Linked DNA regions of Saccharomyces cerevisiae S288C. The gene in region 2 interacts genetically with the main gene of each other region. Each region holds a gene or a part of one and is shown on either strand. Other genes may lie near its edges. The genes, in order: DOT6, PKH3, VRP1 and STE50.

What was found.
Region 1: mutations in PKH3 (region 2) and DOT6 together harm fitness more than expected from each alone (negative genetic interaction), as found in Saccharomyces cerevisiae (2 studies listed by BioGRID).
Region 3: mutations in PKH3 (region 2) and VRP1 together harm fitness less than expected from each alone (positive genetic interaction), as found in Saccharomyces cerevisiae (2 studies listed by BioGRID).
Region 4: mutations in PKH3 (region 2) and STE50 together harm fitness more than expected from each alone (negative genetic interaction), as found in Saccharomyces cerevisiae (4 studies listed by BioGRID).

The regions. Positions count from the first base shown.
Region 1 is NC_001137.3:332,676-340,604, forward strand, and holds DOT6 (Dot6p), read right to left. Parts: upstream 2,514-7,929; coding exon 501-2,513; downstream 1-500. Other genes in the region: Arf family guanine nucleotide exchange factor SBH1, read right to left, coding at 1-155; type 2C protein phosphatase PTC2, read right to left, coding at 3,271-4,665; anthranilate synthase TRP2, read left to right, coding at 5,274-6,797; MET6 (5-methyltetrahydropteroyltriglutamate-homocysteine S-methyltransferase), read right to left, coding at 7,189-7,929. UniProt on the Saccharomyces cerevisiae protein: Component of the RPD3 histone deacetylase complex RPD3C(L) responsible for the deacetylation of lysine residues on the N-terminal part of the core histones (H2A, H2B, H3 and H4).
Region 2 is NC_001136.10:1,389,987-1,398,568, forward strand, and holds PKH3 (protein kinase PKH3), read left to right. Parts: upstream 1-5,134; coding exon 5,135-7,831; downstream 7,832-8,582. Other genes in the region: SPP41 (Spp41p), read left to right, coding at 1-3,193; RMT2 (protein-arginine N5-methyltransferase), read right to left, coding at 3,350-4,588; TLG1 (Tlg1p), read right to left, coding at 8,040-8,582. UniProt on the Saccharomyces cerevisiae protein: Serine/threonine-protein kinase which may phosphorylate the same targets substrates as PKH1 and PKH2, 2 upstream activators of PKC1.
Region 3 is NC_001144.5:801,486-809,883, forward strand, and holds VRP1 (Vrp1p), read right to left. Parts: upstream 3,622-8,398; coding exon 1,168-3,621; downstream 1-1,167. Other genes in the region: SGD1 (Sgd1p), read right to left, coding at 1-911; 60S ribosomal protein uL10 RPP0, read left to right, coding at 4,402-5,340; SPO77 (Spo77p), read left to right, coding at 5,900-7,333. UniProt on the Saccharomyces cerevisiae protein: Involved in cytoskeletal organization and cellular growth. May exert its effects on the cytoskeleton directly, or indirectly via proline-binding proteins (e.g. profilin) or proteins possessing SH3 domains.
Region 4 is NC_001135.5:59,018-66,249, reverse strand, and holds STE50 (Ste50p), read right to left. Parts: upstream 2,810-7,232; coding exon 1,769-2,809; downstream 1-1,768. Other genes in the region: HIS4 (trifunctional histidinol dehydrogenase/phosphoribosyl-AMP cyclohydrolase/phosphoribosyl-ATP diphosphatase), read left to right, coding at 1-316; RRP7 (Rrp7p), read left to right, coding at 682-1,575; MXR2 (peptide-methionine (R)-S-oxide reductase), read left to right, coding at 2,968-3,474; LSB5 (Lsb5p), read right to left, coding at 3,528-4,592; dithiol glutaredoxin GRX1, read left to right, coding at 5,077-5,409; GFD2 (Gfd2p), read right to left, coding at 5,524-7,224.

The DNA.
Region 1 (7,929 bases), on a different chromosome or scaffold from region 2:
ACTCTTAGTCCCGTAGCCTCATCAGAATAAATCTTCAAAATCGAATTATTGCTGTTCGTGTTTTTCTTTGGAGCGGATGCCGCAACTTTTTGTGAACTTCCCTGTTTTCTCTTTTGCAAAGTACGTTGACCACCTGGAGGAGTTGGGCTTGACATTATGGAGTATGGTAGGAGGTAGAGTGTGGTGTTTTGAAGTGGTGGTTGAAATCTTTTCCCTTCATCAAAAGGCTACCGTGTATTAAAATAAAAACACGATTTTTTATGATGCTTTCCTTTTCCAATGTGAAAAGTTCAGGGTAACGTTGTTTGCGTTCCACGAAAAAAAATAGTTGAAGCGGAAATGAAGAATGGATGAATACGTCATATAAACCAAAGAAACTTTTATACTTTTAAATATGCTAAACTATAGAAATTTAATGAACAAGCCCGCTAAATTCACATTTTTCTTTTTGTTGTTGATATTTTTTTATTTTTATTTTTTTTTCATTTTAAGTTTTCCCCTCACAGCATATCCTTGAAGATAGTGTTTATGCTTGGCAGCGGACTGTTGTTTGTGGTAGTAGTTGTAGAACTAGAGTGGTTTATCATGTTATTGGTGGTTTCGGTAGTGATGGATGTAGTTGTGGAAGAAGGCTTCGGTCTCGGAGTAATGGCTTCAGAACGAAAGTTGTTTAACAAAGCAATATCTTGCGGGTTTTTGGAATTAGGGGTGCGATTCATGGTTGCAGCCGAGGAGCTGGTATCGGAGGTTATGGTGCACCTAGAACCAGCATCAGAAGTATTCGATGAATCATCTGCGGGATCCGGTGAAAAGATCGGATCCGGTGAAACGTCTTTGGAGGATATGTTGGAACTGCTGGATGAAAAGACAGTCTTGTTACTGGATTGTTTAGCACGGTGCAGCGGGTCTACATTATCTTCGTCATCATCGTTACTACCATCACCCATAACGTCCTCTTTGTCGCTACCTTTGTCATCATCAGTGGTAGAACCACTTTTGAACATTCTTGGACAAGTTTTCTTGGACAGAGTTTTTTGAGGTGAATGTGTAGGAGACAACATATCCGCATCACTTGACAAGGCGTTTAATCTCCATTGAATTTCCACCTCAGTTCTCTGCGGCAAAAGAATGGATAGTTCCATAACGGATAGGTTTCTCTTTTTGTTTTCCATTAGCAAAGCGTCTTCATCTTTTGACCATAGATTAGTCGGATTACACGATGACTTCATAGAATGGCCAGAAAACGAACCTCGTTTAGACTTATGCAAAGTGGATGACGATGACACCGATGAAGAATGTGGGAGATCCATAAAGGTATAAGAGTTGGGGAAAATGGGCCCGTTGTTGGAGGTAGGACCTCCACTGTTACTTAAGTTGTTTAATCTTTGCTGAAATTCCTTCTTGATGACAGATTCCCTTCTTGAGTTGGTATTAGAAGTAGAAGCAGTGTTACTGCCGCTATTGTTGACATTGAATATGTTTGACACGGAATTTGGTGCAAGAATCATTGAAGACCGTCTTGAAGTGTTGTTACTTGAAACATTAAACGATGATCTTCTGGACCAATTCGCAAGCGAGCCCCTTCTTGACTTTGAGCTTAGTAAGACATGCGAAGAGTTTGGAGAAGACGGAGTAGTGGTTATTGCTACCTGTTGTGGATAGGCAAACGAACTTCTTCTGGATCTAACGAATACTTTAGGAATGAATCCATACTTCTCCTCATCATTAGACCGAACGATGGGGTCTTGGTTCAAAGAATTGGTGAAGGAGTGAGAGTTTGACCTTGGCTTTAGAGTCTTATGATGGGGATGGTGGTGTAGGTGTTGATGAGGATGATGAGGGAGTGCGGCCGGCAGCGTGGGAGGAGCGAACGGCATGGAAGAAGCAGCGTTTGAGACAATCGTAGTGGGAGTCACATTGGACGGAGATTGAGAAAATGACATCGATGCGTGAAACGAAGGCAACGAGGTCTTTCTGGAGGGAATCGGGATGGATGACGTTGTAGTGAACTCAGCAGTATCTTCCGTTAATACGTTTTCTTCTACCTTCTTGCTGGGCTTTTGCTGAGCGTTGGCAGTCTCATCGCCGTGGGTGATCTTGAGTGGGCCCGTATAGGTGTTGATGTCGATCAAAGCAGTCTTGTTCGACTTCAAGTTACCAGACTTCAACCTTCTCCATCTGAACTGACACGCGTTAGGAGTCCTGTTTGGGAAGTATTGCGAAATATCCTTCCAGCCCATTTTCTTGACCTCCTTTAAATGACGTAGCAGCAGATCATCTTGAGGGTCCCAAGAGGAAGGGTTCTTGCTCGAATTCTTGGAAGACGCAGATGCCGATGCCGAAGTCGACGATGAAGAGGAAGCTGGCAGAGAGGGCGAAGATTCCTGGGCTTCGTTCTTGGACATAGCTGTTGACGACGAGTGTGGCTGACGAGTGAGTGAGTGTAGCTGAGGATGGGTGTCCATGCTGCTCAAATGAATGGAAGCTGAGTTCAAACTGGTTGAAATGGACATCACGGAGCAGAGAAGGGAGGGAAGACTGGAACGTGCACGGAAGCTATTCGATGAGGTCGGATGAACTGACTGTGAAAAGGAGGAAACACGGATAAATATACTACAAAAGAGAGAAAAAATACAACAAGATACCAAACAGGACGAAAGAGAGAAGAAATAGAGAAGATGCAAAGAAAAGAACACTTTTCAAAACCTGTCCCTGTTTTTGTTGTACTCGGTTTTTTTCCTTTTTAAACTGTGTGCACTTTCTGATTCCGTCTTGTCGAGGCTGTCGGAGAAAAGAGTAGCACACACGACGATAACAATAGATACGGTAGATTGGATGGGGCACAGATGTGCAAGGCAATGCGCGAATCCTGTCTACGATGTCTGTACCGTCCATCCTTTCTCCTTTGCATCGGAAACATCCGCGCTGTCTACCTTAGGAGGACCTCATGGGACGGGCGCTGGGGACTCGTGCCCATCCGGGACTGGGGGTGAGATTTCACAACGGGGCCGCTGCTGGTCTCACCCTCTGGCCGGGCCGGTCCGTTTTTGTGGCGTCGCTGCAGGTAAACGCGCAGTTTCTGCGCGTTTACCCCTGAGGTGAATACCATCTTCAAGCGTCAAACTGCATCCGGATATCCTGCTGTTGGTAGCGATGGTGGTGGTAGTGGTGTATGCTCTTGGTTCTGGTGGTGTCTTGCGTCTTCTCTTCTCTTTCTGTTCGTTCGGTTCGTATATAGGTATGTATATATAATGAAGGATGGAAGATCCTTCATTGCAAGTGGGAACGGCCGGCCTTGTGGTCAGTGTTACTGTCATTCTCGGGATGGGAGGAAGCCGGGTCATGGCCCATGGTTTGGAGCAGTTGGGCCAAGGCAGACTGGGGAAGAGTGTAGGTGACTTTGTTCCCGTTGCTGTCTGTCTTCACTCCTCCTGTAGCACCAAGTAGCGCCTCCAAGGATGCTAGATCAATGGGGCCGGAGGTCTTGCTCTTGGATTGGCTGGAAGGGTCAAGATTTTCTGCATCTGTGTCAGCGTCCGTGTCGTCTATGTCCATTGGATCGTCGTTATCGGCGGCAGTCACCGAGGCCACAGCGGCTTCGTGGTCGCGAGTGAATTTGTCCTGAGGTTTCTTCGTAGTGATAGCGAACACCTGTTCGTCGTTACATTTGGAAAAATCGTAGTAACTAAACACCCTTCTTCTCTTGTCTGCAAAAGAACGCACTGATGTGCGGTGGGCCTTGGACTTCATACGGTCGCTCCATTGAGCGACGTCTTCACCTTCTTTCAGCAGCGCGACAACCACTATACTCATGTTGTCGCATCCAATACCCGTCCCCTCTGTGGTGGGAGCACAACAGACATCGATGATCCGCGAAGAAATTTCATTCAATGTCTTGCCTTCGCGAAGGCCGAGATGAACCAAGTCCACACAATCTTGGGAAGTCAAACAATCCCAGATACCATCACAGGCTAAGATTACAAACTCGTCCCTATCGTAATCTAGAGAATGCTCGAGAATGTCCGGAACACATGTCACTATTTGCTCCTCGGGGCCCAATTTGGGGTTGGATTTGAACTCAAAATCACCAATGGCACGAGAGAGCGCCAAGTTACCGTTGACCCTATCCATTTCTACGAAGCCATCAGCTGCCACAATACGTGATTTTTCGCTTGCTAGAGTGGGCTTGTGATCGTATGATAATGCCTTTGCGTTCCCGTCGGTGGCGAGTACGGTTCTACTGTCACCAGCGTTACCACATACTAACAAGTTCTGGGACTTTGATACTAATATGGATGTAGCCGTACATCCGCTATGGTCTTCTTTCATCACAGGATCTTGTAACAGTTTCACGTCTGTGTTTATGAAAGTATCAATCAAAGCCCTTGGTAAATTTCCTTCATGGAACGATTTCTGCTCTTGCAGGATCTCCACTATTTTATTACCACAGTATTCTGCTACTTTAGCGCCACCATGACCATCGAATATACCGTAAAATGCAATATGGTCCTTATCGGACTTTGTCAAAACATTAGGCTCTAGAATGTGTGAATCCTCCATTGACATCCGCCACCCTTGCATTGCACACAGTCCAAACGCGGTCAAGGAGTCAGCACCGGAGTGGCTCTCTTTATCAATTACCGGGTTTGATAGAATTTGTCCCATTTTTCTTTTTCTGGTTCTCTATATTTTATACAACAATGGAATAGTCAAAATCCTAGGGATGTTATTAATCGGAAAACTACTATCTCGAACGAATAGTTATAATTAATCAATGAAAAAAAAAAAGAGAAAGTAAAAAATGTTACAACAACTAATATACACTAATTGTCCTTGATAACAGAACTTGTTGTAGTTTTATTCCGTGGGGAGGAGGGTGAATTTTTTTTATTTAGTTTTAAAGAACAAAACAGAAGTCTATATACTTAGCACTATAATATCCAGTTTCAATTTGCTCTGTCAGAATCCGAATTGGCTGGTTTTCTTTGTTTTACCATCCCCTTCCATTTATCAGCATGATATTTTTTTTTTTAGAATAATCCTTTCAATCGTTGAAGTAGTTTGTGGGAAAAAAAAAGTTGTTAAAGGCATTAACGTACACAGTGATTTGCTGACTCATTACGATTTTTCACTCATCGAAGTATTGTTAGATTTTGATATATTAACATGACTAAAGGGCTATGGTCCATCGTAGCAGAAGGCAATCATCACTTTAAAACCGAGGCCACAATCGATAATTAGCACTGATATTCTGATTGGAAAAAAGGCAAAAAATGACCGCTTCCATCAAAATTCAACCGGATATTGACTCTCTAAAGCAATTACAGCAGCAAAATGACGATAGTTCCATAAATATGTATCCCGTGTATGCGTATTTGCCATCATTGGATCTGACTCCTCACGTGGCATATCTAAAATTGGCACAATTGAACAACCCTGATAGAAAGGAATCATTTCTGTTGGAAAGTGCTAAGACAAATAATGAATTAGATCGTTATTCATTCATAGGTATCTCGCCACGCAAGACCATCAAAACCGGTCCTACTGAAGGCATTGAAACAGATCCTTTGGAAATTTTGGAAAAGGAGATGTCTACCTTTAAAGTAGCCGAAAATGTTCCTGGTTTACCGAAATTAAGTGGTGGTGCTATTGGTTATATTTCTTATGACTGTGTTCGTTATTTCGAGCCAAAAACAAGAAGGCCTTTGAAAGATGTCCTAAGACTTCCAGAGGCATATTTAATGCTTTGTGATACCATTATTGCCTTTGATAATGTTTTTCAGAGATTTCAAATCATTCATAACATTAATACCAATGAAACTTCGTTGGAGGAAGGTTACCAAGCTGCAGCACAAATAATCACTGATATCGTATCAAAGCTAACCGACGATTCCTCGCCAATACCATATCCAGAACAACCTCCTATTAAATTGAATCAAACTTTTGAATCGAATGTGGGCAAGGAAGGTTACGAAAATCACGTCTCCACTTTGAAGAAGCATATTAAGAAAGGTGATATTATTCAAGGTGTGCCATCGCAAAGAGTGGCAAGGCCAACTTCGTTACATCCTTTCAATATTTACAGACATTTACGTACAGTGAACCCATCTCCTTACCTGTTTTATATTGATTGTTTGGATTTCCAAATCATTGGTGCATCTCCAGAATTGTTGTGCAAATCGGATTCCAAAAATAGAGTCATTACCCATCCAATTGCTGGTACTGTCAAACGTGGGGCTACTACTGAAGAGGATGATGCTTTAGCGGACCAATTACGTGGCTCGTTAAAAGACCGTGCAGAACATGTTATGCTGGTAGATTTAGCAAGAAACGATATTAACAGAATTTGTGACCCATTAACAACAAGTGTCGATAAACTGTTAACTATTCAAAAATTTTCTCATGTCCAACATCTGGTTTCTCAAGTCAGCGGTGTTCTCCGCCCAGAAAAGACAAGATTTGATGCATTCAGATCGATTTTCCCTGCAGGTACTGTCAGTGGTGCTCCAAAGGTTAGAGCCATGGAATTGATTGCCGAACTAGAAGGAGAAAGGCGTGGGGTTTATGCAGGCGCCGTAGGTCATTGGTCATACGACGGTAAAACAATGGACAATTGTATCGCTTTAAGGACTATGGTCTATAAAGATGGCATTGCTTACTTGCAAGCTGGCGGTGGTATTGTTTACGATTCAGATGAGTACGATGAATATGTCGAAACCATGAATAAAATGATGGCCAATCACAGTACTATTGTGCAAGCAGAAGAATTGTGGGCCGATATCGTAGGATCAGCTTAAAAAGGGCATTCTCTGTTTTTTTCCCCTTAGACGACATTTTTATAGTTTTCGAATAATATGATATAATGATGTATAGCAGGATCCTGAAAAGTATTATTCTTTCGACATATACATTTGGTCCGACTTACAACCAAAAAATTTTTGTTCAAAAAATATAGGAAATTTTAGAAAACGAATGTTGAATGCGTTATAAATAATACAGAATGTACGTGTATATAAAAATATAATAAAAAAAATGCAAGAGTTATGGCTTTGTAATAAAATTGATATCAAAAAATTACCCAAATAAACTTTTAAATGTGAACACAAAAATTAAATCACCGATGTTGAATCCCAGAATAAAAAACAAAAAGTTCAGAAAATATCATTACTTTGCTTCCTTTTTAAAACCTTAATTCTTGTATTGTTCACGGAAGTACTTGGCGGCTTCGACCATATGAGTCAAAGACAATCTAGTTTCTTCCCAGCCTCTAGTCTTCAAACCACAATCTGGGTTAACCCAGAACTTTTCAGCTGGGTAGCTCTTCAAGATGGTTGAAATCTTGGCGATAAATTCATCCTTTGATGGAATTCTTGGAGAATGAATATCGAATAAACCTAGACCAATGTGGTTTGGATAGTTTTTGAATTCAGCAATGTAGTTAGCATCGTCCTTCTTAGAGAATTCGATGGAAACAACATCAGCATCCAAAGCCTTGATATGGTTTGGATCCAAGTCAGAGTAACAGAAATGAGAGTGTATTTGAGTCTTGTTAGCAACACCAGAAGTAGCAACTCTGAAAGCTTCGGCAGCCCAGGTGTAGTAAGCAGATCTCTCAGTACCTTCTCTCAATGGTAAACCTTCTCTTAAAGCTGGTTCATCAACTTGGATAACCTTGATACCGGCAGCTTCCAAATCATTGACTTCATCTCTCAAAGCCAAAGCTAATTGCATAGCTTGAGTTTTTTGGTCGACATCGTCTCTTGGGAAAGACCATCTCAAACAGGTAATTGGACCAGTCAACATACCCTTTACTGGCTTAGAAGTGATGGATTGAGCGTAAACAGATTCCTTGACGGACATAGCCTTTGGTCTGGACAAGTCACCAACAATAATTGGTGGTCTGACATATCTGGAACCGTAAGATTGAAC
Region 2 (8,582 bases):
TCCTCAAGAGAAGAAAAAAACAAAAAGTAAGACATCCAAGGCTGCATCTACAGCAAATAAATCACCTGCATCTGAATCTACCTCCAAGAAAAAGAAAAAGAAGAAAACTGTAAAGGAAAGTAATAAATCTCAAGAAGCTTACGAAGATGATGAATTTTCCAGAATATTAGCCGATATGGTTAACCAAGTGGTTAACACTTCATTAAAAGAAACATCAACGCATACTGCCACACAGGATAATAAATTAGAAAGCGAAAGTGATTTTACTTCCCCTGTACAAAGTCAATATACTACTGAGGATGCAAGCACAGCTAATGATGACTCGCTTGACTTGAATCAAATCATGCAAAACGCAATGGCTATGGTTTTTCAAAATCAAAACGACGATGAATTTGATGAGAACATTGTTGAAGACTTTAATCGTGGTTTAGGCGATCTGAGTGTTTCCGATTTACTGCCGCATGATAACCTTTCTAGGATGGAAAAGAAATCGGTGCCTAAAAGTTCGAGCAAATCTGAAAAGAAAACAGCTATATCTAGGAGAGCTTCCAAAAAGGCATCTAGAGATGCCTCAAGTGTAGAATTGACTGAAGTACCTTCAAAACCGAAGAAACCTTCCAAGACAGAAGTATCTTTAGAAAAGAAGTTACGCAAAAAATACGTCTCTATTGCCAACGAGGCTGCATCTGTGGCTAGAAAGAAAAGATGGGCTAAAAACAAAGAACTAAAGGAGAAAGAGAAACTTGAACGCCAAACTGCCAGAGAGGAAAGGAGACATAAAAAAAAACTAGAGAAGCAGAGGTTGGCTGAAGAACAAGAGGAACTGAAAAAAATTGTTGAACGAGGTCCACCTTATCCCCCAGATTTAAGACTAACTAAAAGCGGTAAACCAAAAAAACCATACAGAAGATGGACTCCGGAAGAGCTACTGAAACGATCACAGGAAGCTGAAAAACCGAGGAAGGTGAAAAAGGAAAGAAAGAAAAAGGAAAAGAAAATGAAGGTACCTTCATCTGCTTTGAAGAAAATTCCTCTCTTCAACTTTGTAAAGGGTAATGTTCAGCCAAGTGCAAGACATCGTCTGAATGACATTGAAGGTTCGCTATCCACTATTGGATTACATAAATCGCCTGACGGTGTCCGCAGGATTCTTTCGAGACCAAAGAGTGAAGATCACGAATGGCCCCTATCAGATTCATCTGCATCTCAAAATTACGATGCACACCTAAAAACTGTAGTGCATAAAGAAAAAATTCCTTTCCATCCCCCATGGACTATACCGTCTCAACCACCATTTGCACTACCCGTAGCTAGAAGAAAGAAAATACCAAATATCAAAAAGTATAGAAAGAGAACCAATAATTCTTTTCGTGTCTCCAAAGAAGGTACGGCAAGTACTAGGAACAGAATTTTACCGGCCATATTACTACCGATAATAAATACATTAAAAGCTGCTGCAAAATCGCAAACAGCTGCTGGCGCCACACCTGAGGAGGCAAGGAAACGGCTGGCAACCATTATTCAACATGCCAAGTCTACAGTTATTAGGGCAGCTTTACAAGCAAGGAAAAACAGTATGCAAGCCGCTCATTCTAAGGGAACTACCACAGAACTGGCAACAACTGCGTCTCGAATGAAGAATCCGCTGAAAATGATTCCTATTTTCAATACATCTCGAGTGAAACAACAATTAGACAAACAATTACCGGCCAGAAGTGCAGGAACAGAAATCAGCAGCTCTGAATCCCCTGATAAAGCCACGCCCGATCCCCACTCTAATTCTACAATCGCTGGGCATACTTTAAAGGGCGTTACTACGCCAATTAAAATAGAAGACAGCGATGCGAATGTTCCTCCTGTTAGTATAGCGGTTTCAACTATAGAACCATCACAAGATAAACTAGAACTTACGAAGAGGGCAGAGAGCGTAGAACCTGTGGAAAATAATGTTGAAACAGCGAAAGAAACCCAAAGCGTACAAGAAATTAAGGAGAATGTCGGTACCAAGGCTTCTGAGGAAGTTACTCTAACTGAAGACAAGACAAATGGGGATCCAAAAAATGAAAAGAGGATATTAATTGAATCTCCTGTCGAAAAAACGGATAAAAAGAAGCCAGGTGAGAAAATTGCTACAGATTTGAATGAAGATGCGAGCCTGTCTGATAAGAAAGATGGAGATGAAAAGTCTACATTGCATTCTGATGCAGCCCAACTTACGGGTAATGAACCAGACAGTGTAAACACGACAACAGGAAAGCCCAAATTAATTGATGTTTCTCTCAAACCGTTAAATGAAGCAAAACCAAAAATTCCCATCATATTTCCCTTAAAAAGACCGCAAATTAAGCCTGAAGTTAGCGTTATTAATTTAGTTCAAAATTTGGTAAATACCAAAATACCCGAAATAAAGAATGAATCCGTTGATTTGGGAAGTAATATCACCGACATTCTTTCCTCTACTATCACTAATATTCTGCCCGAAATCACAGCCACTGATGTTAAAAACTACCAGTATGAAGATGAAAACGTAAAATACCTGAAAAAAACACCAAGACAGGTTTTGAATTTGGATGGACTAGTGCCTCCATCGGGTAGATGTATTACCAAAGCTAAACGTGTCCGCCGCATTAAAAAGCTTTCTGCTGACGCCACTACCGCACCGGAAGCCGATGGAAAGGCAAACAGCGAATCCATTACTTACACATTCGATATACCATCTCCAGAAGAGGTACAAAGTAAGCGTAGTGTAGTCCTAAAATTTGCCAAGGCTAGATTGACCGAGGCGGAGTTGAGTTGTCTAAAGAAGGAGATTAACAATGTGAGGAAACGGAGATGGAGAGAGATGAACTCCACCAAGAACTGGGAATATGACGTAAAGTCTAGATTAAAAAAGCGTGCGAACGCATTTTTTGGGGAAGGAGAATCAGAAACGAAGTCTAAATGGATCGAAGAAAGATTTCAAGAAAAGGTAAGTCAAGAAAAGTACAAGGATCGCCTTGAAACTACTGAGACGCAAGCAAACAACACGAAGATTGTGATTGACGACAAGGAGATTTTGAATATTCTTGCGGTAAACATGAATAACCTTAACAAAGCACGCTGTATTGAAAAAGATATTCAAGAGTCGTTCAGGGAGGAGAAGTTAGCCTCTTTACAACCAAAGAAGAAGAGAAAGAAAAGCATTTTACACTGAGGTGTTACTAGACATAATTTAGTTCATATGTCCATTTCTGCATAATCATATATACTTAAAGTAGCAAATGTATATAGTTTTTTCTTCCGATTTTCGAAACTAATATTAGTATTGGAAATCGGCCCCTGCCATTGTGCAATTTACATTATTCTATAATTAAGCAAACGTGATACGTGGATGGTAATAATAGTTACAGTTAAAGTAAGACCGCTTAACATCATTCCAATCTGGCAATTGCTCGTCAAGAGAATATCTGGTGTAATCGCATTTCATACCATATGTAGCAACATCGATCTCAACAATTTCTTTATATACATCGTAACACAACGATCTGTCAGCGCCTAATCCGTTGAAAAATGAGAAAACGCCTTCTGGTTTAATTAAACCTACCACGACATCGTATAAGTCCAATATGTCTTGGTAGTGCTCGCTAAATGTATCATAATAAATACCATCAAAGAAAACTTCACCTTTGTCTAATAAATTATTCAACGTATCTTGCCATCTTCCCTCTAAAATAACCACATTATCCTTTTCATACCAACCATCCATTTTCATCTTGGCCAAAACATCTGGATGAGCTTCGCAAATATAGTGACGATATGGTTTTCGAGCTTGGATGAATGTATCGATGATCCCCATTCCAAATCCAATGTTTAAGATCGTAGCAGAATTAGTGGCCTCTGGATCAGGAAATAAGGTTTCGGAAGCAAGTTCCATAATCTTGGTTTCCCAATCCATCATAACACCGTCCTTATTTTCCTTTGTGATAAGCGCATCGTCTTTGTACTCTAGTTCTGTTTTTAAGTACACTTGTTGATTTGCCGCGGTAGCATCGTCATCACTACCAACTGATTCTTCTTTTTGACCATCAACTGCTGTTTGAACGCTTTCCTCAGGCTCGATACCTATTAGTTCATCTGTATCCAAGAATTCGACGTCGCCACCATTGAGTTTTCTCAGTAATAATTCAGCAGACACACCAGCTTCCACGAGCCGTCTATAAAGAGGGCTCTCCCTACTTTGATTTCTCTCTAAAAACAAATCACCCACTGTTTTGTCCTCGTAGTCAATAAAATTCCATCCAGCCCCATACTCAAAAAGAATATTCATCATATCCATCACCACTTGCAGTTCCTCATCCTTGATATCCAAGGGTAGCGATCTTGCTAAAACGTGTAACGGCGTTGTGTTTGAGGTTTTATTGTCGTCAGTGCTCTCTCTGAATTCCTTATCCCCGTTCCTGTTCTTTTCCTCATGCTCGAAGGCTGCGACCTGCTCCAAAGTATATGTAGCCGGTATACCAGATTTTAAGAAATGCTGCAGTTTTGGTACATAGTAACTTTGAGAAATGGGCCTCTCTGGGAAAGTAAGCAAAGCATGTAATTCTGACATACTTGAATATATTAAAAGTCCTTGGTGTAAACACCTAGCCGTTGCAACTGCTGGGTATTGTCAATGTCATTTTGCTTTACGCTTAGCTTAAAATGAGATGAGATGAGCTTTGAAAAATTTTAGAAAAAGAAAGGTGCCATCGATTCTCGCCGAAAAAGGAAAAGAATCGTTATAATCCTTCGAATCCTATATACACTAAACAAATATCTGCATTGGTCAACCCCAAGCACACGTACTGATGACTAGAGATGATACTGAAAGTGTTAACAATATAACTTCCTTACTCGCAGCTAATGTCACATATTGAGGTAACAATGGATCGAAACAATTTTCATGCTTACCCGCGCGGTGATTTCTTGGTAGCGAAGGGGTTTTCATGAAGGCAGCAGAAGAGAGGTACATTGATTTGAAAGTGTGAGGAAACAGAATAATAGTGCCTAAAGCCTAACCCAAGCAAGTAAGCAGTTCTTCCACGTCTTATCTATTCAGAGGCTGAAACAATTGAGTGAAAATTTAAAGAGTAGGTGTGGGACATTGGTATGACATATGACGTCTAGGAAAAGGTCTCCGCACGATTTCATATTTAAAGAGGAACTGGGCCATGGCTCTTACTCTACTGTGTTTAAAGCTCTAGATAAAAAAAGCCCGAATAAAATTTATGCCATTAAAGTTTGTTCGAAGAAACACATAATCAAAGAAGCTAAGGTAAAATATGTCACCATTGAAAAGAATACCATGAATTTGTTGGCACAAAAGCATCACGCGGGTATAATCAAACTATACTATACTTTTCACGATGAGGAAAATCTTTATTTTGTTTTGGATTTTGCCCCAGGTGGAGAACTACTTTCCTTATTGCACAAAATGGGTACTTTCAATGATATATGGACGCGTCATTTCACTGCACAGTTAATTGATGCATTAGAATTTATCCATTCACATGGCATCATTCATAGAGACTTAAAACCGGAAAACGTCCTTTTAGACAGGGATGGTAGACTTATGATTACTGATTTTGGGGCCGCTGCCACCATAGACCCTAGTTTAAGCGGAGATTCGGCCAAGTTTAACTCTGACAGCAACGGCTCAAAAGACAACCAAAATTGCGCTTCCTTTGTTGGTACTGCCGAATATGTCTCTCCAGAGCTGCTTTTATACAACCAATGCGGTTATGGCTCAGATATATGGGCACTAGGTTGCATGATATATCAGTTTGTCCAAGGACAACCGCCGTTTAGAGGGGAGAATGAGCTGAAGACATTTGAAAAAATCGTAGCATTAGATTATCCATGGGGACCCAATAACCGCATCAATAATAGCACATCACCAATAAATCCCCTTGTAATAAACTTAGTACAAAAAATATTGGTGATAGAGGTCAATGAGAGAATCTCTCTCGAACAGATAAAAAGACACCCATATTTTTCAAAAGTAGATTGGAATGATAAAATCAAAATATGGAGAGGAATCTGGCAATCACAAGGACAATCGCTGCAACAAACTACTTTGGGACTCCCAAATATACCGCAGAATATACTACCCACCAGACAATTACATGTAATTGACACTCCAGCACGAAGTATACAAATCACAAAACAAAAACGTAAGAAACCAACGAAAATTTCCAACACTACTAGTAGCATAGTAGTATGGAGAAAAAGGCTTGGTATATCAACAGGTAAGGATGATTTAGGCACCGTACCGTCCACTACGCCTGCAGTGACCGCCCCTAATGATACCAATGTATTAACAAATACGGCGGCACATTCTACTGCAAATATTGCCTTACCGCCTAATTCACAATCCAATCAAGTCAAGCGAGCACAACTAGTTGCACCAAATAGAATACCTCCCAAAGTACCGGTAATTAATGACAACGTGAGAAATAAGTCAATTCCGCGCACAAAGCCTAATGTGCCACCTTTGCAAACATCATCAATACCACAAAAGTTGTCAACATCGTCAGCATCGTCAGCTCTATCGGCGCCGTCAACAGAGATAAGGAACCAGGACTTAACACACACTTTAGATGGAAGAAACTCAATTGATATTCATGTTTTAAAACAAGACTACGTCTTCATTTATGGCATTCCATATGAACACGAAGGGCCTGCTATGTCTTTGAACAGCTACAATAAGATCGATAATGATTTAATTACGTCACTAGTTGCGCAGCATAAAGAAGAATTAAAAAACTCAGAGTCGTTTTTACAGGTATTGACTTTGAAGAAGAGCGGAATGTTAAGTTACAAAAACACAGTTATGGAGGGAAATGATGATCAAGAAAACAAAGAACACCAGATGGCTAATATAGAAGATACAGACTTGTCCATGTACGATTTTGAATTCAATGAGTTGACAAGGAAGGGTTTTTTAATCCTGGAAAAATATAAGAATAGAATATGGTTTATCTCGCTACCTTCATATTCAACGTTATCCAAAATACCATTCAATGCCGTGAAGTCTTCGACAATAAATAACAATGAAAATTGGGTCGATTGCTTTTTCAGAGCAAGACAACTACTAGAAGAAAAGCAAATTCTTGATAAAATCAGTAACGTTTCCTTTGATAGTAAGGCATCGAGTGAACCATCATCACCTCCGCCTATTTCAAGAAAAGAGCGGCCTCTGAGTATAGGAAATAATGTAACAACACTCAGCTATACTGCAAAAAATGGAAGCCAGAACAATGCACCACAAAACGATAATGTTGGAGAAGAAAAACCTTTTCGCATACCTAGTAGTACCAAGGATAGGCCCGGTGCAAATTCCACTCCTTCTTCAAGACATCCTAGGGTTTTGTCAAGCAATAACGCTGGTGAAACTCCGAAAAAAATGAATGGAAGATTACCAAATAGTGCACCTTCTACCAATACATATACCAACGGTTCGGTCCCAGCTTTTAATCATAGGCCTTCTACTAATGTAGGGAACAATAAGCATAATATTTTAACTTCGAAGAAGCAGGGATCATCCGTATTTTCTCCTTCATCTTCTACGACCAAGCCTCAAATCAAAACAACAGGATATCGACAGCCAACACCTTCACCTCCACTTCCGCAAATGGAATTCCCAACTACGAGAGAAAAGTATTCTGCTCCTTCTAACATGGTGATCAGTAGCAGCAGATACGAGGTCTTACATACCCTTAATAACAGCCAAACAAACTTTGATAGGGAAATTGCTAGTAGGGGTGCCTCAGCAGCATTTAGAAGTTTACAGAAGAGTAAGAAAAAAAAATAACACGCTTTAATAATATTTGTGGTTCCTCTACTTCGAAACAAAAAAATATGCACGAGTTGTTGACGATCCAGAAAAACCAACATATAAATCATATCCAAACCCTTGTAGCATTAATATCCGTATCACTTATGTATTCAGAATGCATGTATTTTATATATGCCCAGTATATCTTCGATTGAAGCTCTTCGGCATTAGTGCATTGTATTTTTCAAGCAATGAATGCCAAAACTAATAAAACTATCAAGACGACAATAAGAAGTCCTATACAACAATCGTCGTATTTTTCTTTATTTTTTTCGTAGACCCATTCCAATTGCCTACGACCTCTAGCCAGCTTATTTACAACACCGTCCATACCCTCGTCCATATTATCCAACAATTGTCCCTGGTTCTCTAATTCATCCCCCATTGTTTGAGCTTGAATATGCAAATTTTGCATTGTCTTGTGAATACCATCTAAATGAACATCTTGTTCTCTTAACATTTGTTCCTGAAACGGATTGGACATACCACCATCATTGTTCTCAGCCATGCTGGTGTTAAGTGTTGAATTTTCCACCGTCTCTTCTAGAGGAATAGTTGTTTGAGTAGATTCCTGTATTCTTCGATCAAAACGCAACTTCAGAGCATCAAGTTGCTGTTTTATATTTTTAACTTGTGCTTCCCTACCACTCACGTCTTCGTTTTCATCCCTTTTCATTACGATTATGCTTCTGTCCAAATCAACTATTGTTTCCTCAACATCCTTTAA
Region 3 (8,398 bases), on a different chromosome or scaffold from region 2:
ACATAGGGATTTTCCTTTTCTCTTCTATAATTATCATCCGAGTCCGCAACGCTGTCGTTATCAGATTCACTAAGCCCATCTGAGTCTTCAAAATCAGAAGCTGAAAGATCATCATCCGAGGAAAATGCTTTCTCGCTTGCTTCATCATCTTTTCTCATAGAATTAGTTTCTGTGGCAAAATCTCCATACTCTTCGTCACTTTTGCCATAATTTTCAAAGTATTCCAAACCTTCAAGAAGTCCACCAATAGCATCAAATTCATCTTTTGCATGTATAGCCTTCCTTTCTCCTTTCAAGCCCAACTTTTTTGCGTAATATTGCATGTCCATCTCGTCCCTTTCAAACGCTGATCTGTCTGAAGGGGCCAGCGGATAACTCACAAAATTCTCATTTGTATCTCTGTTACGAATATGTTTCTTTTCATATGAGTTACCTTTTATTTCTCCCGAGTTTTCAGCTCCTTGTATACCCTTTGCTTTCCGTTTCAATGATTCTAGTTTTTTCATTGTTTCTTCCGCAGACATTGCCTGCTCACCGCTTTCTTCTGCTACTTCATCAGTAAGCACTTCGTCACTATCCCAGTTTTCATTACTTTCTGATTCATCTGAAGAAATCGGATTTTTACCGTTAGCCTGCTTGCCTACGTTTTTCACACCTGCATTAGCACTCCTCTTTTCGGACGTTGGTGCTGATTTTAGCCGGCTGGAATTGATTTCTCTAGTTGATATAATTTTACGTTTCTTGTCGGCCCGTTCCATCTTTCTCTTTTCTTTACGGCTTAAATGTTTGCCATTTCCTCGTCTTCTCTTTTTTCCTTCTGAAATAGAAAACCTTTCATCTTGACTGTAGTCAAGAGTCTTCAACTCGTCCAAAATAACGCCTGGAATTCTAATACCATCTGTTTTTTGCATTGCCTCAATATTCTGCAGCTGTGGACTGGCTATCTTTAGTTAAGATGAGGCTTCGTAAGTAAGTTCAGTAGTCTTGTAAGCTCATCGCATTTTTTTTTTTTTGCTGGATTTTATATTTTTCACAGCGAAAAGGACGGGAAGCTAAAAGATTAAAAAATAAATATTGCAGATACCATATGTAATTTAGTAAAATATTTTTATAAAATATTATTATTTTCTTGTTCTTCAGTGATTTATTGTAACCATGGAGAAATGCTCACGTAAATAATGTTAAGTCCAATGGCACACTACTACCCTTTCCACTTGGATACAGTTTTGTTTTATTTTGAAAGGGACGTGGCTTAGGCATTTGTGACACATTAGTCCATTTAAATCTTGAATCATCTATAACAATTCTTTCATTTCCAGATTTGGCCCCAACGATAGAATTCGATCCCCCTATCGTATACCTACCTACATCAACATCTGGTTGATTTGTATGCGTATTATGCTTGTGTTGCAGCGTCGATCCACCTGTAGAAAATAACCGTTGTTTAAGGTTTTTACTGGGGCTATTAGAGGTACCGGTATCCATCGTAGATGGACTTGGTGGTGGGGGTGGCGACTTAGTGGGGTTCTTCGAAATTGATTCAGTTTCGGTACGAACGGAAAGTGTAGGCGCAACAGGAGGAGGTGATGGTATTGATGTAGACACGGATTGCTGAGGCAGACTTGGTGCACTAAATGTTGGCAATGGCGGAGCAGCTGCAACAGGAGGAGAAGGAGGTTTTTCGAGATTCGAGGAGGGAAGAACATCGTGTAATAAAGAAGCGGCGGGGACATTATTCTTGCTATCATCTGATAAAACTGGTGGAACTGGTGGAGGTGGAACGTGTCCAGGCAGTGCAGGGGCCTTTGCTTTTTTCATCCCTAACACAGTCTCACTCTTATCATTGGTGTGGTCATCACCTGATGCAGTTGGAGTCGGTAGCGATGTTATAGGAGGAGGAGGTGCACTAGGAGGCAAAGGAGGCGCCATAGCATCCGTATGGGGGGGTGGTGCGTTAAAAGCATTCGATGATGTTTGCTTATGTAATTTGGATTCAATTTCATCCAGAAACGACATACCATTTTGGCTACTCTGTTTAGGCGGGTTTATAGATGGAGAAATAGGAGAAGGTCTTACGTTATCATCCTTAGATGAACCTATTACATCCTCTTGTTTATCTTGGGTAGTGTATCCAGTATCACCACCAACCACGAATCTATCATCTCTCTTCTTTTGGATCTCAGCAAGAAATGGTAAGGGTCCCCCAGGTGTTACGGCCGAGGAAGAACTGGATGAAGATATTTTGGATTGCTTACTGGACGCTGAGGGTTTGTTTGTCGTGAGTGTTGGAGGAGGAGGAGGAGCCGATGGTACTGACGTTGCAACCGAAGGAGGAGGAGGAGGTGGTAGTGGTGCTAAAGGAATAGATGATGCTGACAAGGCAGAGGATGTTGAAAAAGCACCAGGTGGTGGGGGAGGAGGAGGTGGTGGCGCGGGCATTGACGATGCTTTGTTAGGAGGAACTGATGTAGTATTTGGTAACGGTGGTGCTAAAGTTGGGGGAACCGGGGTTGCTTTTACGCTGTTAGTCGACGCAGAGCTCATGGCTGCTGGTAGTGGTGGTGGAGGCGGAGCTGGAGCTGAAGTTGCTTTTTTAGGTGCAGAGGTCACATTTGGTAACGATGGTGGAGGTGGTGCAGTAGGCGGTAATGGCGGAGCATGTGATGTAGGAATGGGCGGAGCAGATGATGGAAGTGGTGGTTGTGAAGGAGATTTATGATTTTCGGTTTGAATCTTTGTGGAAGAAACGCCCTCGACGGCTCCTCGTTCAGACCTCCTGGCATTAATTTCTGCCAAAAATGGCAACCCGCCTGCAGGAACTTCAGAAGATGGTGGTGAGACTGCGTTATCTGTAGGTTTAATGTTTTTTGAGTCCAGGCCAATTGTTGGAGTTGGGGGAGGGGGTGGAGCTTGTGGAGGGTTGCTAACATGTGTTGGCAGAGACGCTGAAGGCAAAGGGGGTGCTGACACACTAGGAAGAGAAATATTAGAGCTTTTTCTTTGGTGGCTTCTGTGTGCTGGCCTTACTGAAGGCATATGCGGTCTATTTTGCGGTACCTTTGGAGCAGAGGCACCTGATAATGGAAGCGGTGGTGCTGGAGATGATGGTACAATGGGAATAGGAGGGGCCGCAGAAGATGGAATATCAGGAATTGGAGGTGCAGAAGACGAGGGAATACTAGGAACAGCGGGTGCTGGTGATAATGGTGCATTAGGAATGGGGGGAGCCGCAACAGATGGCACCGCGCCCGGAATTGGCGGTGCGCTCGCCGATGGAGAGGGTTTAGTGCTTGCATTGTTATTGATATGTTTTAACTTCGGTATACCTCCAGCTAAAATATCGCCCAACTGCGGAGCGCCCATCCCAGGGATTGGAGGAGCTGACATAGAGGGTCCTTTACTACTGACGGTACCAGAACTTCCTGAGGCCGATGAAACGACACCACCTCCCACGATTGGGGCACTTCTATCATTGGTCTCAGCTTTCTTTAGTTTCATTCCCTTTCTAATGTCACCTAACAGGGCGTCACGGCCCTGCATCACAGATTTTGCCGGTTTAGGAGCACTACCACCTAATGCTGGTGGAGGCGGTGGAGGAGGAGGAGCTGGAGCACCTGCCATTTCAACAATTCGTTATATATATGGTAGGCTTCTTCAACAAACGGTTGTGCGCTTTTTAGTCGTATGCTTTGTCTCATATCAAAAACTTTCTTCATAAGTTTATAATTTTAGATTTTGTTCAAGTATTTACTGACTGTGCGGATTATTCTTAAGGCCCCTATTTGAGGACGGCGGCCGCACCCGTAAGCAGTGACTAGGTTATGAACATTTCATTCTTTCTAAAGACGCTTTTAGCAAGCTTCATACAGGATAGTAGGATTTGAAGGCTAACATTGTGATTCCATCCTCTGTCAATGTTTCGTAACTTGAATATTTGCGACTTTTTCCATCTTTTGTGAGCTAAAATTTTTATCTTGCCCTTGTAATTTGAACTTAAAAGAGAATACAGCAATGTAGCGGACAAACCGAACATTGAAATTACCATTTTAATTGTAACTTATCTTGAAGGAGTTCCATACCGTATGTTATCAAGATACTTCTCAGGGCAATATCTACATTTACATATTTGCCTGCTTAACATCCGAACATTTCACATTTTGATTATTTCGAGAAAAAAGTCAAAAAATTTCTCAAAGAAAAAAGAAGTAATGCCGAACTGAGAGTGAATGCATCACATCGTTGCGAAAAACTGGTAAAAAATGACTTCAAGTTATAAGTAAATGAAAGATTAACAATATCTAATTCTCGATTCTTTTTTCAAGTTTCAGCCATAAGATACATAAGCGGAATACCTTTAAACATCCTGCAAACAGTCTAATAAATACGTATAATAAGTTTGAAATGGGAGGCATTCGTGAAAAGAAAGCTGAATACTTTGCTAAATTAAGAGAATACTTGGAAGAATACAAGTCTTTGTTCGTTGTTGGTGTTGACAATGTTTCTTCCCAACAAATGCACGAAGTCAGAAAGGAATTGAGAGGCAGAGCTGTCGTCTTGATGGGTAAGAACACCATGGTTAGAAGAGCCATCAGAGGTTTCTTATCCGACTTGCCAGACTTCGAAAAGTTGTTGCCTTTTGTCAAAGGTAACGTTGGTTTCGTTTTCACTAACGAACCATTGACTGAAATCAAGAACGTTATTGTCTCTAACAGAGTTGCTGCTCCAGCCAGAGCTGGTGCCGTTGCTCCAGAAGACATCTGGGTTAGAGCCGTCAACACTGGTATGGAACCAGGTAAGACTTCTTTCTTCCAAGCTTTGGGTGTCCCAACCAAGATTGCCAGAGGTACCATTGAAATTGTTTCTGATGTCAAGGTCGTTGACGCCGGTAACAAGGTCGGTCAATCTGAAGCTTCCTTGTTGAACTTGTTGAACATCTCTCCATTCACTTTCGGTTTGACTGTTGTTCAAGTTTACGACAACGGTCAAGTGTTCCCATCTTCTATCTTGGATATCACCGATGAAGAATTGGTTTCTCACTTCGTTTCCGCTGTCAGCACCATTGCTTCTATCTCTTTGGCTATTGGTTACCCAACCTTGCCATCTGTCGGTCACACTTTGATCAACAACTACAAGGACTTGTTAGCTGTTGCCATTGCTGCTTCCTACCACTACCCTGAAATTGAAGATTTGGTTGACAGAATTGAAAACCCAGAAAAGTACGCTGCTGCTGCTCCAGCTGCTACCTCCGCTGCTTCCGGTGACGCTGCTCCAGCTGAAGAAGCTGCTGCTGAAGAAGAAGAAGAATCTGATGACGACATGGGTTTCGGTTTATTCGATTAAGAAGTGCAACATGAATTATTAAGTTAATTTCATATATACTATTTTATAATTAAATAACATTAATCCTCATTGATTCATTTTATTCATGATAATGTACTGTCCGGTTCCTTGCGCTAGCCTGAGTTAGTCTCCGAATACCTGGCGATTTTCATATATTCTGAGCGGCTCTGGACACCTAACTGGATAAAAATACTTCCACTTAATGTAGTTTGGTTTTCTAGTTCATACGGACTATTTCAAAGTTCATGATTTGATGAGAGAAAGTAGCTATACTATCTTCCCAATTTACGCTTGTCTCTGAACAAAGGTTTTTATCCTTTATATGCTTATTGAAATACTGAGAATACCAAAAGTTGTCTTTTTCTCTACTATCGCTTGATTCTTTCAAGACGTCGGATATAAGAAATGTCACAAAATCAAAAATAGCTGCGAGGAAATAATGAAGAAAAGTAAAAGACGAAACTACTGCTTCGATGAGAGGTGAGCAGAAGCTCCCATAAAAAAAAAAACCTATCTTGCAGTATTTCTATGTTCCTTAAGAGATCAATAGAAGTAGAATATGTTTCGAAGGGGAGATAATTCAAATTTTAACGTACAAAATAGCTTCTTTCTTCCTTTGGAATACGAATATACCGTAAAAGATAATGTACCTTCAAAAAAAAAGAGTAGTATAGGTTTTTTTCCATTAGATGATTCTTTATTCACATCAAAAAACAATTCAGGGCACCATAAAAGCGAACAGCTCCATCGCGGTAATGCAGAAACTATCAGAAGCCAGTTTGGAACTGACGCAGTTCCGATAAGGATCGATGAGAAAGAAGGAAAGTGGGATAGAATTCAAGATGATAATTCTTCTAATTTAAACTACCAAATTAACAACAGTAATGACCCAGCTTCGAGTGGTAAATATACCCAGAGTATTGACTGTAACCATATAGCGGAGTCAAAATTTTCAAAAAAAAATGGAAACATTGATAGTCTTCGTTCAAACTCAGCAACTTTTATGCTAAATACTGCAGATGAAGACGTGATAGAATTTAGTTTTGACGATAATGTCCCTTATGCTGAGTTATTATCTGGTGCCACCCTTGAAAAATGTTCGTTGACTCTAAATGAAATAAACAAAAAACTATTCAATACGCTCTATGACTTTCGAGTAAGCAAAGATAATCCCGAAGAAAATTTGGTAGAACTAATACTTCCGAACTGCGTGGTGTTATTAAACTTTTTTGAAGACATTGAACTCTTGGCCGACTCTTCTGATGAGGCTTTCGAAAAATCTACTTTCATTAACACAATTGAGTTCATTGTGCACGATATTTGGGTCGAAACGTTGATAAAGAACATAAACTTATTACAAATGTTTGATGCAGATTTGAAATGCTACAATGACAAGTACATAATTTGCAAGCTAAAGGGTCAGTATCCCTCCACAAATATAGTGGACATAATGTGCCGTTTGAAGCATTTTTCCAATTCTATTTTGGAAACTTTCAAATTCGGAATCGAGCTAAAAGAACAAGATCAATGCCACAATAGAAACACTATTATCAACTACGTTCTTTTCAGTAGAGTATTTTCAACGATTGTTTTAGAGATTCAAAAATGCTTTATCTTGATCGTTAAGTTCATGTATTCTGTCAATTTTTTAGAAAAATTTTCCGATGAAGTATTTTTGTCATTTATTGAAATTCTCATAAAAATTGTCTTTGAGCACCAGATTCCGCAGTTATTTTTGGGAATTGATGAAATTATTCAACTCTGGTTAAAGAACAATGAAGGAAAACGGCAACAACTCTTGAGCGCTTGGTGCAACGGAACTGTTCAAGATATGAAGCAAAGCCAACAAAGAGAGTCCTCAAACGCAGAATCTGAATCAATCACTTCAAGTACAGAAGAGGACGAAGAAGGCCTCCAATTCAATAAATGGGATGTGATTGAACCATTTATTGATAATATCAAGGCTTTGAATCAATCAAAATCCCATATGTGACGCAGCGATAAAACCGCGGCATGCAAACATCTACACAATTAGCAAGGGCAATCCATATTTTGTCTTTTCGCGCCCTGGAAAGGCCTAAGTAATGTCGTAAACGCATTCTATCTGTACTTCAACTCTCCTCTGTGCATTGGTTTGTGCAAATCACATTTTACGATACTGCCAGATTTATGCAAAAAGAGAAAACCAAGGGACCAGAACAAAGCAAAATTACGATAAACTTCGAATTCCTTCGTGCTTGACTAAGACAAAGGGATGGACGTAGCGATTTTTAGCGGGCCAAGAACTGGTTCCGAAAAAGCACAGGTACACCGAACCCTCAGCTAAGGAGGGACAGCACCGATGCGGAAGGACAAACTTTCTTTTTGCCTATCACAGTATCTTATCGAGCTAACTATTTTCGACACACATGAAAAAGCAGAAATATTAACGAAAAAGAAAAGAAAGACCATGTCATGTACGGGCAATCAGAATCTGTAACAAGCGCCATTTTTTTTTCTGTATCGGGCCCTCCTTACTGCTCTCCTTCCGTGTAACGCGTTATGAAACTCTAATCCTACTATCGGCGACTCTCTCGAAATTTTTCTTAACGCGTCCTTGTACTGCGTCTAACGCTTTTGCCACTTGGATTTCTATTATAGGAAATAGTCTCACTTACTGGGCGACGAATTTTCGCGTTTTGATGAAGCACAGGAAGAATTTCTTTTTTTTTTGGCTTCTTCTGGTTCCGTTTTTTACGCGCACAAATCTAAAAAAAGAAATAATTATAACCTAGTCTCGAAAATTTTCATCGATCCATTCGTTCCTTTTTTTCGATTTTTTCAGATCAAAATTCTTGTTTCTTTCTTTGTCTTAGTTTATATTAAAAGATATTTTGATTTTACTCCTGAACTATTTATTCTTTCTAAGAAGGCCAGAACACTACAGCTGTTTTAACCGACTACGAAGTTCTCCATTCTCGAACACTAGCCTTCATTTACCAAACAGGAACTAGCGTATATCATTAGTCCTTATTCGAAAAGAGATTGGTAGATATTTATTGTAGTTTGTGAGAAGGAG
Region 4 (7,232 bases), on a different chromosome or scaffold from region 2:
TGCTAACGATTATGTTAAATTGGTTGACAATGCAGGGTCCGTATTTGTGGGTGCTTACACTCCAGAATCGTGCGGTGACTATTCAAGTGGTACTAACCATACATTACCAACCTATGGTTACGCTAGGCAGTACAGTGGTGCCAACACTGCAACCTTCCAAAAGTTTATCACTGCCCAAAACATTACCCCTGAAGGTTTAGAAAACATCGGTAGAGCTGTTATGTGCGTTGCCAAGAAGGAGGGTCTAGACGGTCACAGAAACGCTGTGAAAATCAGAATGAGTAAGCTTGGGTTGATCCCAAAGGATTTCCAGTAGATTATTTCTAACTTGGAAACCGAACACTAACGAAAATAATATGTATATATACATATATATATCAAACAAAATACAGTCTTGAATGAATAGAGATACACTATGTAATGAATGGTAACGTAAAAATTGTAATTTTGGATTAAAAGAGAGGTAGTAGCAAGAGTGGGTATCAAATAGCGATTAATAAATGAATATCCTTATTGTCATCACTTCGAACGACGTAAGTTAAATTGGAAAATTTTTCACTTTTTGGTCACCTAAGAAATAAGCAGGAAAAAGAAGAGAACATTGAGAGGATGGTAAAGCAAGAGGCATTTAGGGCGAACGAACTAGGTAACAGATAACAACCTCAGATAGAGTGTTACGGGATGGGTATTGAAGACATTAGCGCCATGAAGAACGGGTTTATAGTGGTGCCGTTCAAATTACCGGATCACAAGGCACTACCCAAAAGCCAGGAAGCTTCGTTGCATTTCATGTTTGCTAAAAGACACCAGAGTTCAAATTCCAACGAGTCTGACTGTTTGTTTTTGGTCAACCTTCCATTATTATCTAACATAGAGCACATGAAGAAATTTGTCGGGCAGCTCTGTGGGAAATACGATACAGTATCGCATGTAGAGGAACTACTATATAACGATGAATTTGGATTACATGAAGTAGATTTATCGGCATTGACCTCCGATCTGATGTCCTCCACTGACGTCAACGAGAAGAGATACACACCAAGAAACACGGCGCTATTAAAATTTGTTGATGCTGCAAGTATAAATAACTGCTGGAATGCTTTGAAAAAATACTCGAATTTGCATGCCAAACATCCAAATGAACTATTTGAATGGACATATACGACTCCATCATTCACAACTTTTGTTAACTTCTACAAACCACTGGATATTGATTATTTGAAAGAAGATATTCATACACATATGGCAATTTTTGAACAGCGTGAAGCTCAAGCACAAGAGGATGTTCAAAGTTCTATAGTGGATGAGGATGGATTCACATTAGTTGTAGGAAAGAACACCAAGTCATTGAATTCCATAAGAAAGAAAATATTAAACAAAAATCCATTATCCAAACATGAAAATAAGGCCAAGCCAATTTCAAATATAGATAAAAAGGCAAAGAAAGATTTCTATAGATTTCAGGTCAGAGAACGTAAAAAACAGGAGATCAATCAACTGTTAAGTAAATTTAAGGAAGATCAAGAAAGAATCAAGGTAATGAAAGCTAAGAGAAAATTCAATCCATACACTTAAACCACCATCCTCGTCATCATATTCAACATATCTCAATATATCTATAAAACTAATAATATAATATAACATAATATAGTATAATAGTATAAGTTTAAAGGCATCAATAATTTTTTTCTTTCATATATATTCTGCTAGCATACATGTTATCCTATTCGTGTAAGTTTAGTATGATGATGTGCATGACAACTGCACATTAGAGTCTTCCACCGGGGGTGACATTGTCACTTCCGTTCATCATTGCTACTTCTTCGAAATCACCTCTTCTTCTTAACATAATGGCGGGGTGCAAACCCTGTTGCTTTAAGTTCTTGAATATGATCACAGGCTTTTCGTTCAATTCTAACAGCCTCTCTTGATCCCCATAGCAAATGACCAAGACATATTGTCTCCAATCCTGATCTGCTAAGTTATGTCTTTTCATTGCGTTTTTCAAGATCCGTTCGCAGGAGTCTTCTTTAGATGCACGCAACTGTTTTAACGCCTCGTTAGGTGATGGCCCCGGTGTGTTCGCTGTTGAAACGGCAGATGGGTGAGATTGGTTTGTAGATATTTGGGGTACTTTGTTTTTGCTATCCTTGTGCAAAGATTTTGAGTGGGAAAGACTGGGTTGCCTAAATACCGTTACCGGGGATTCTCTCCTTGACGGTGATTGTCGGTTATGAACTGTGTCGAAATAGTCTGTTTGTGAAAGAGACACACCGTCACTACTGGGTATAATTGTGTTGTTTGAAGAAGGTACCGTAGTGGACACTCCATGTGTGTTAATCGGAGAAGAGCTTGAGCTGGTCTTCATTACGTCCAAGACATCCATCCTCAGCCTTGTGTACTGCGATTGAAATTCTTGCAATTTCGCAGATGTAGTAGTGTACAAGTTTTTCAGTACCGTTATCATGTCCTCTTGAGTCTTGTCGTCCTTCCACTCCAACTTGCTGTCTCTCATCTTATTGATCAGTATCTTGAATTTTATGGCCTTATTCAAATCACCGTCACACAAGTCCTGGCAATCTTGCAAGCACAATTCCGGCAAAAGATCTCCTACAATATCATTTTCTCGCAGTCTCTGACATAATGGATCGGTTTCTTCCACCTCCAGCGTGGATATACACCAAGTTATCACATCATCAACCGACCACTGGGAAAAGTCTTCATTATTCATCAATATTGTGCCATTCACGTCCAGATCCGGCGAAGCATCGTTTGATCCCTCATTGATGGCCTGTTTACCGTCCTCCATCTGATTTGCTATCTCTGCTAGTACGACCTCTGTCTTTTCGAGTCCTTCGACCTAGCTTCTTTGTTATAATTAGCGATAGTATTTTTCAGCTTTGCCTATTGGGAAATATGTCGCCGATGATAGTTTAAATAAAGGGAGAAAGGAAGCAATATCAAAAAATGAATAAGTGGAGCAGGCTGTACGTTATAACTGTACGCAGGACTTTTCCAGGGAGAAGAAACATTGTACTGACGCAGTACTGGAATAAGAGCAAGAAAATGAGTGACGAATCGAATGACGTGAAGTGGAACGATGCCCTGACACCATTGCAGCTGATGGTGCTGAGAGATAAGGCCACTGAAAGGCCCAACACCGGTGCGTATTTACACACCAACGAGTCCGGTGTCTACCATTGTGCCAACTGCGACAGACCGTTGTATTCGAGCAAGGCCAAGTTCGACGCTCGTTGTGGATGGCCCGCATTCTACGAAGAGGTATCCCCTGGAGCCATCACATATCATCGTGACAATTCTTTAATGCCTGCGAGGGTGGAGATATGTTGTGCAAGGTGTGGTGGACACTTGGGACATGTGTTTGAAGGTGAAGGCTGGAAACAGTTGCTAAACTTGCCCAAGGACACCAGACACTGTGTGAACAGTGCGTCTTTAAACCTCAAGAAGGATTAAATGTACTATATATATATATATATATATGTGTGTATGCATACGTACATACTTCTTCAAATTTTGTTATGATCACCGAAAGGGTTTGAGATCGTGGACGGCTGATAAGAAGACAAGCTCTCTTCCTCTGAGGACTCGCTATCAATATACCTGCTGTTATCCTGCTCGTTTTCATCATAAATACCGTCATCGTACGAGCCGTGATCACTTTCATCGCTGCTATCGTCCTGAGCGCTTCGGTCGTCGTATGCAGTCAACGCAGCCACCAGTTCATCATTGGCATGAATTAAGCTACCCAGAAACTCACCCTCCGTGACCAATTGCAGATATCTAAGAACTTTCCTTCTGATCGCCCTTGCCTGGATGAACTTGGACGTGGCCTCTTCATCGTCTGTGGAGAACTTGCCCTTGGGCAGCCCGATCAGCGAGTTCTGTAACGACACAGCAGACGCGAGAGCATCGCTGATTATGAGCCGAATCCTGGGTGCCTCTTTGTTCATGTTGATCTGTGGAATCCTATACAATCTATCGGCACTAGTCAGCGAGTTGGACTGGTACAAAGTGTCGTCGGCGCTATCATCCATGAAGTTAGACCGTCCGCCAGAGCCTCCGCCGCTACGGCGGGAACGGCTGCTCTTCGAGTACCTCTGTTTGACTGTTTGACCCAATTGATAAAGACCTGAATACGCCCTCGCATTCTCAAGGTTGTTCTGCGTAATATAGTTTAGCCACGAGATAGCATACGCCGCGCACTTCTTAATAATCCTAGGCTCATACTTTTCACCGGACCCGCTGTTTTCAGAGTTCGTAGCCATCCCTCTCAGCCTTTGCAGCAGCTTGTCATCATTGTACATGACTGTAAACTTCACGCCTTGTGAGATGAACAGATCCAAGAGGTCCAGAGTCCTGGACTGCTGCAGCCGGTTCCCATACTTTATTTTCTTTCTAAGTGCTCGCGCAGCTTCTTCTTGGTTCACGGTATAGTTATAATCGTTGTGATCTGCTTTGATAAGCTGAATCAAGGGAGCTAACTCCACTTCTAGCGTATAGTCCCTTGAAGAGACAATTCGAAAGATCGTCTCGGTGATAGCTGTATGCGGATGATCCGAAAGAAACCCCATGTTCTTGTTTTGCCTGCCTCCAATGCTTTATCACTCTCTCACACTGTCACAATCGTGTTGTCTTCATCCTTAGAAAGGATACCACATTGATAAACAACATATATAAAGTTTAACTATTACCTTGATCACTTTACACGTCAAGGTCAAAACAGTTTCATAGTTATCACCTTGAAGTATGGCTCCATCATCTATAAAACATGAACTTCATGCACAAGTGAGCTGTCTACAGATAACGAGCAGCCGCAACGGCGTTTCCAGATTGCGATGCTTGTTTTCTTTATCTACTACTGCCTTACTACCCCCCTTGCGCCTCCTGATTCACGTGATGTGGGAATTTTGTCTTGAAAGGAGTAAATATATAAAATAAATGAAAAGTTTATATAATATAAAAAGGGACTTTAGCATAAAATAAAGAACTTCGTGCAGTACTTATACGAGCATTCGCATAATTATACAAATAGACAAAACCTCAGAAGGAAAAAAAATGGTATCTCAAGAAACTATCAAGCACGTCAAGGACCTTATTGCAGAAAACGAGATCTTCGTCGCATCCAAAACGTACTGTCCATACTGCCATGCAGCCCTAAACACGCTTTTTGAAAAGTTAAAGGTTCCCAGGTCCAAAGTTCTGGTTTTGCAATTGAATGACATGAAGGAAGGCGCAGACATTCAGGCTGCGTTATATGAGATTAATGGCCAAAGAACCGTGCCAAACATCTATATTAATGGTAAACATATTGGAGGCAACGACGACTTGCAGGAATTGAGGGAGACTGGTGAATTGGAGGAATTGTTAGAACCTATTCTTGCAAATTAAGGGCAGACAAAGTTTTTTCCATGCACACAGGTTTATAATGAGCTTATATATATGTATATGTATATGTATACAAGCATGTGTTTGTATTTACAGGAAAAAAATCGATGAATATATTTAGTGTGTCGGAAGAGTGCTTGTGAAGGCGTCTTTAGCAGTTCCGAAATACGTTAACCCACCGAATTCCGTTTGGCAGACTCTTTCCTTCCTACTGCTCTTGACGCCCTTGCGGTACGTCCGATTTTTGACTGCCTCCTCGATGGAGATGGCATACGACATGGGCACCACTTTAGGCTCTCGTACGTCTCGTTCTCCCCAAACTTTTACTTGGCCCATTACTTTAAGAACATCGTCCATGCCGCTTATTTTCCTGAAATTAACATCGCAAAACTTCATGAACAAATGCAGGGTATAGTAGGCATCGTTACCGGCATTGTGTAGAAACGCATGCGGTATCTCGAACAACCGCAGAATCTTGCCCAGACTGCTGCCCTTTTCGCCATACGATTTCCTGTAAAACTGCTCAGTGTCCAAGATGAACACGTCTAGATCACCGGGAGTTTCAGCCAAAAGCAGCGTATGGTCCAGATGGCCTTCATACCCTCTGCCAGGGAATTTGACACCAATAGTCTCCAGCCACTTAAGATCCCCGCTCACGTGATGACCAACAAATGCCCTTGACCATGTCTTGTCTTCTTCGGTCACCGGGACCAAGTAATAGTTTATTAGTGATTGAATGAAATGCACGCACTCTTTCAAGCTCAAAACATAGCTTTCTCCCAATAAGTAGCAATCCTTGTAGTCACAGACCCATTTTTGGTTTCTAAGTTCCAGGGACTCCTCGATAATTAGGTGGTAATTCTTTGTAATTGGAACCATTGACGGCACCATATTTTCCCTGGGGTCATAAATTGAAATCCCAATTTCGGTGATTACGTTCTGGTTTGTTTCGAAAGCCTCTATATCAAGACAAAAGCATATTGCTCTCTGAGAGGCCATCAGCCTGATGCATTTCTCCAGATAAGCAAATTCATTCGAGCGTGAATGTGCTTCCACCATGGGCCAGAACGTCTTCCTCACGCTGTTTTTCTCGTCAGCCAGTAGTTTCTGTTCTGTCTCTAGGAGCTTGATGGTACCATTCATTCCTAACATTTTCTTCTGAATGGCTTCGAACCAAGCGGTGTCGCTCATTCCTTTGGGCTGCGGACAGATACAGTTGGCTCGGTCCTCTTTGGTCAATGGAGACAGCCGCTGTGATCTTTTGGACCTGGGTGGTACGATCGTGTCGCTTAATCTTTTCAAAAACCGGCGTTCTTCCACGAGTTTTTCCAGTTTTGCATGCACATCACCATGTACCATATGCCATTCACTGTCCACCTGCGCCAGTTTGGCTTCCAATTGCGCCCTGGATTGTCCATAGGAGGCATCAAACTTCTGCCTCATCTCCGCCACATATGCATCGATCATGGGCTTCCTTAGTTGGTCCAATTCCTTAGAAAACGCGGTCTTTCTCAACTGTACATAGTAATCTATCTGGTCCAGCCAATTGCACTTAGCACGGTCCCAGGGCGTATTCAATTGGGTCCTGGCATCCAGAAACGCCTCCACACAGCCCGCGATCTTGCCGCTTCCTGTTCGGTCCTTCACTAATCCTCTGACAGAGAGCGTCCCATTACTTAGTTTTGTTGCCAAAGCACCGGTATTACCGCTTCTGGAACGATAACGGGGGCCTGCGCCGTTATTATTCCTCCTCTCCCAATGGACGCTTTTATCGCTACCGTTATTACTGTTATCTCTCACCATTTTTTGAACCTGCATGTGGATCT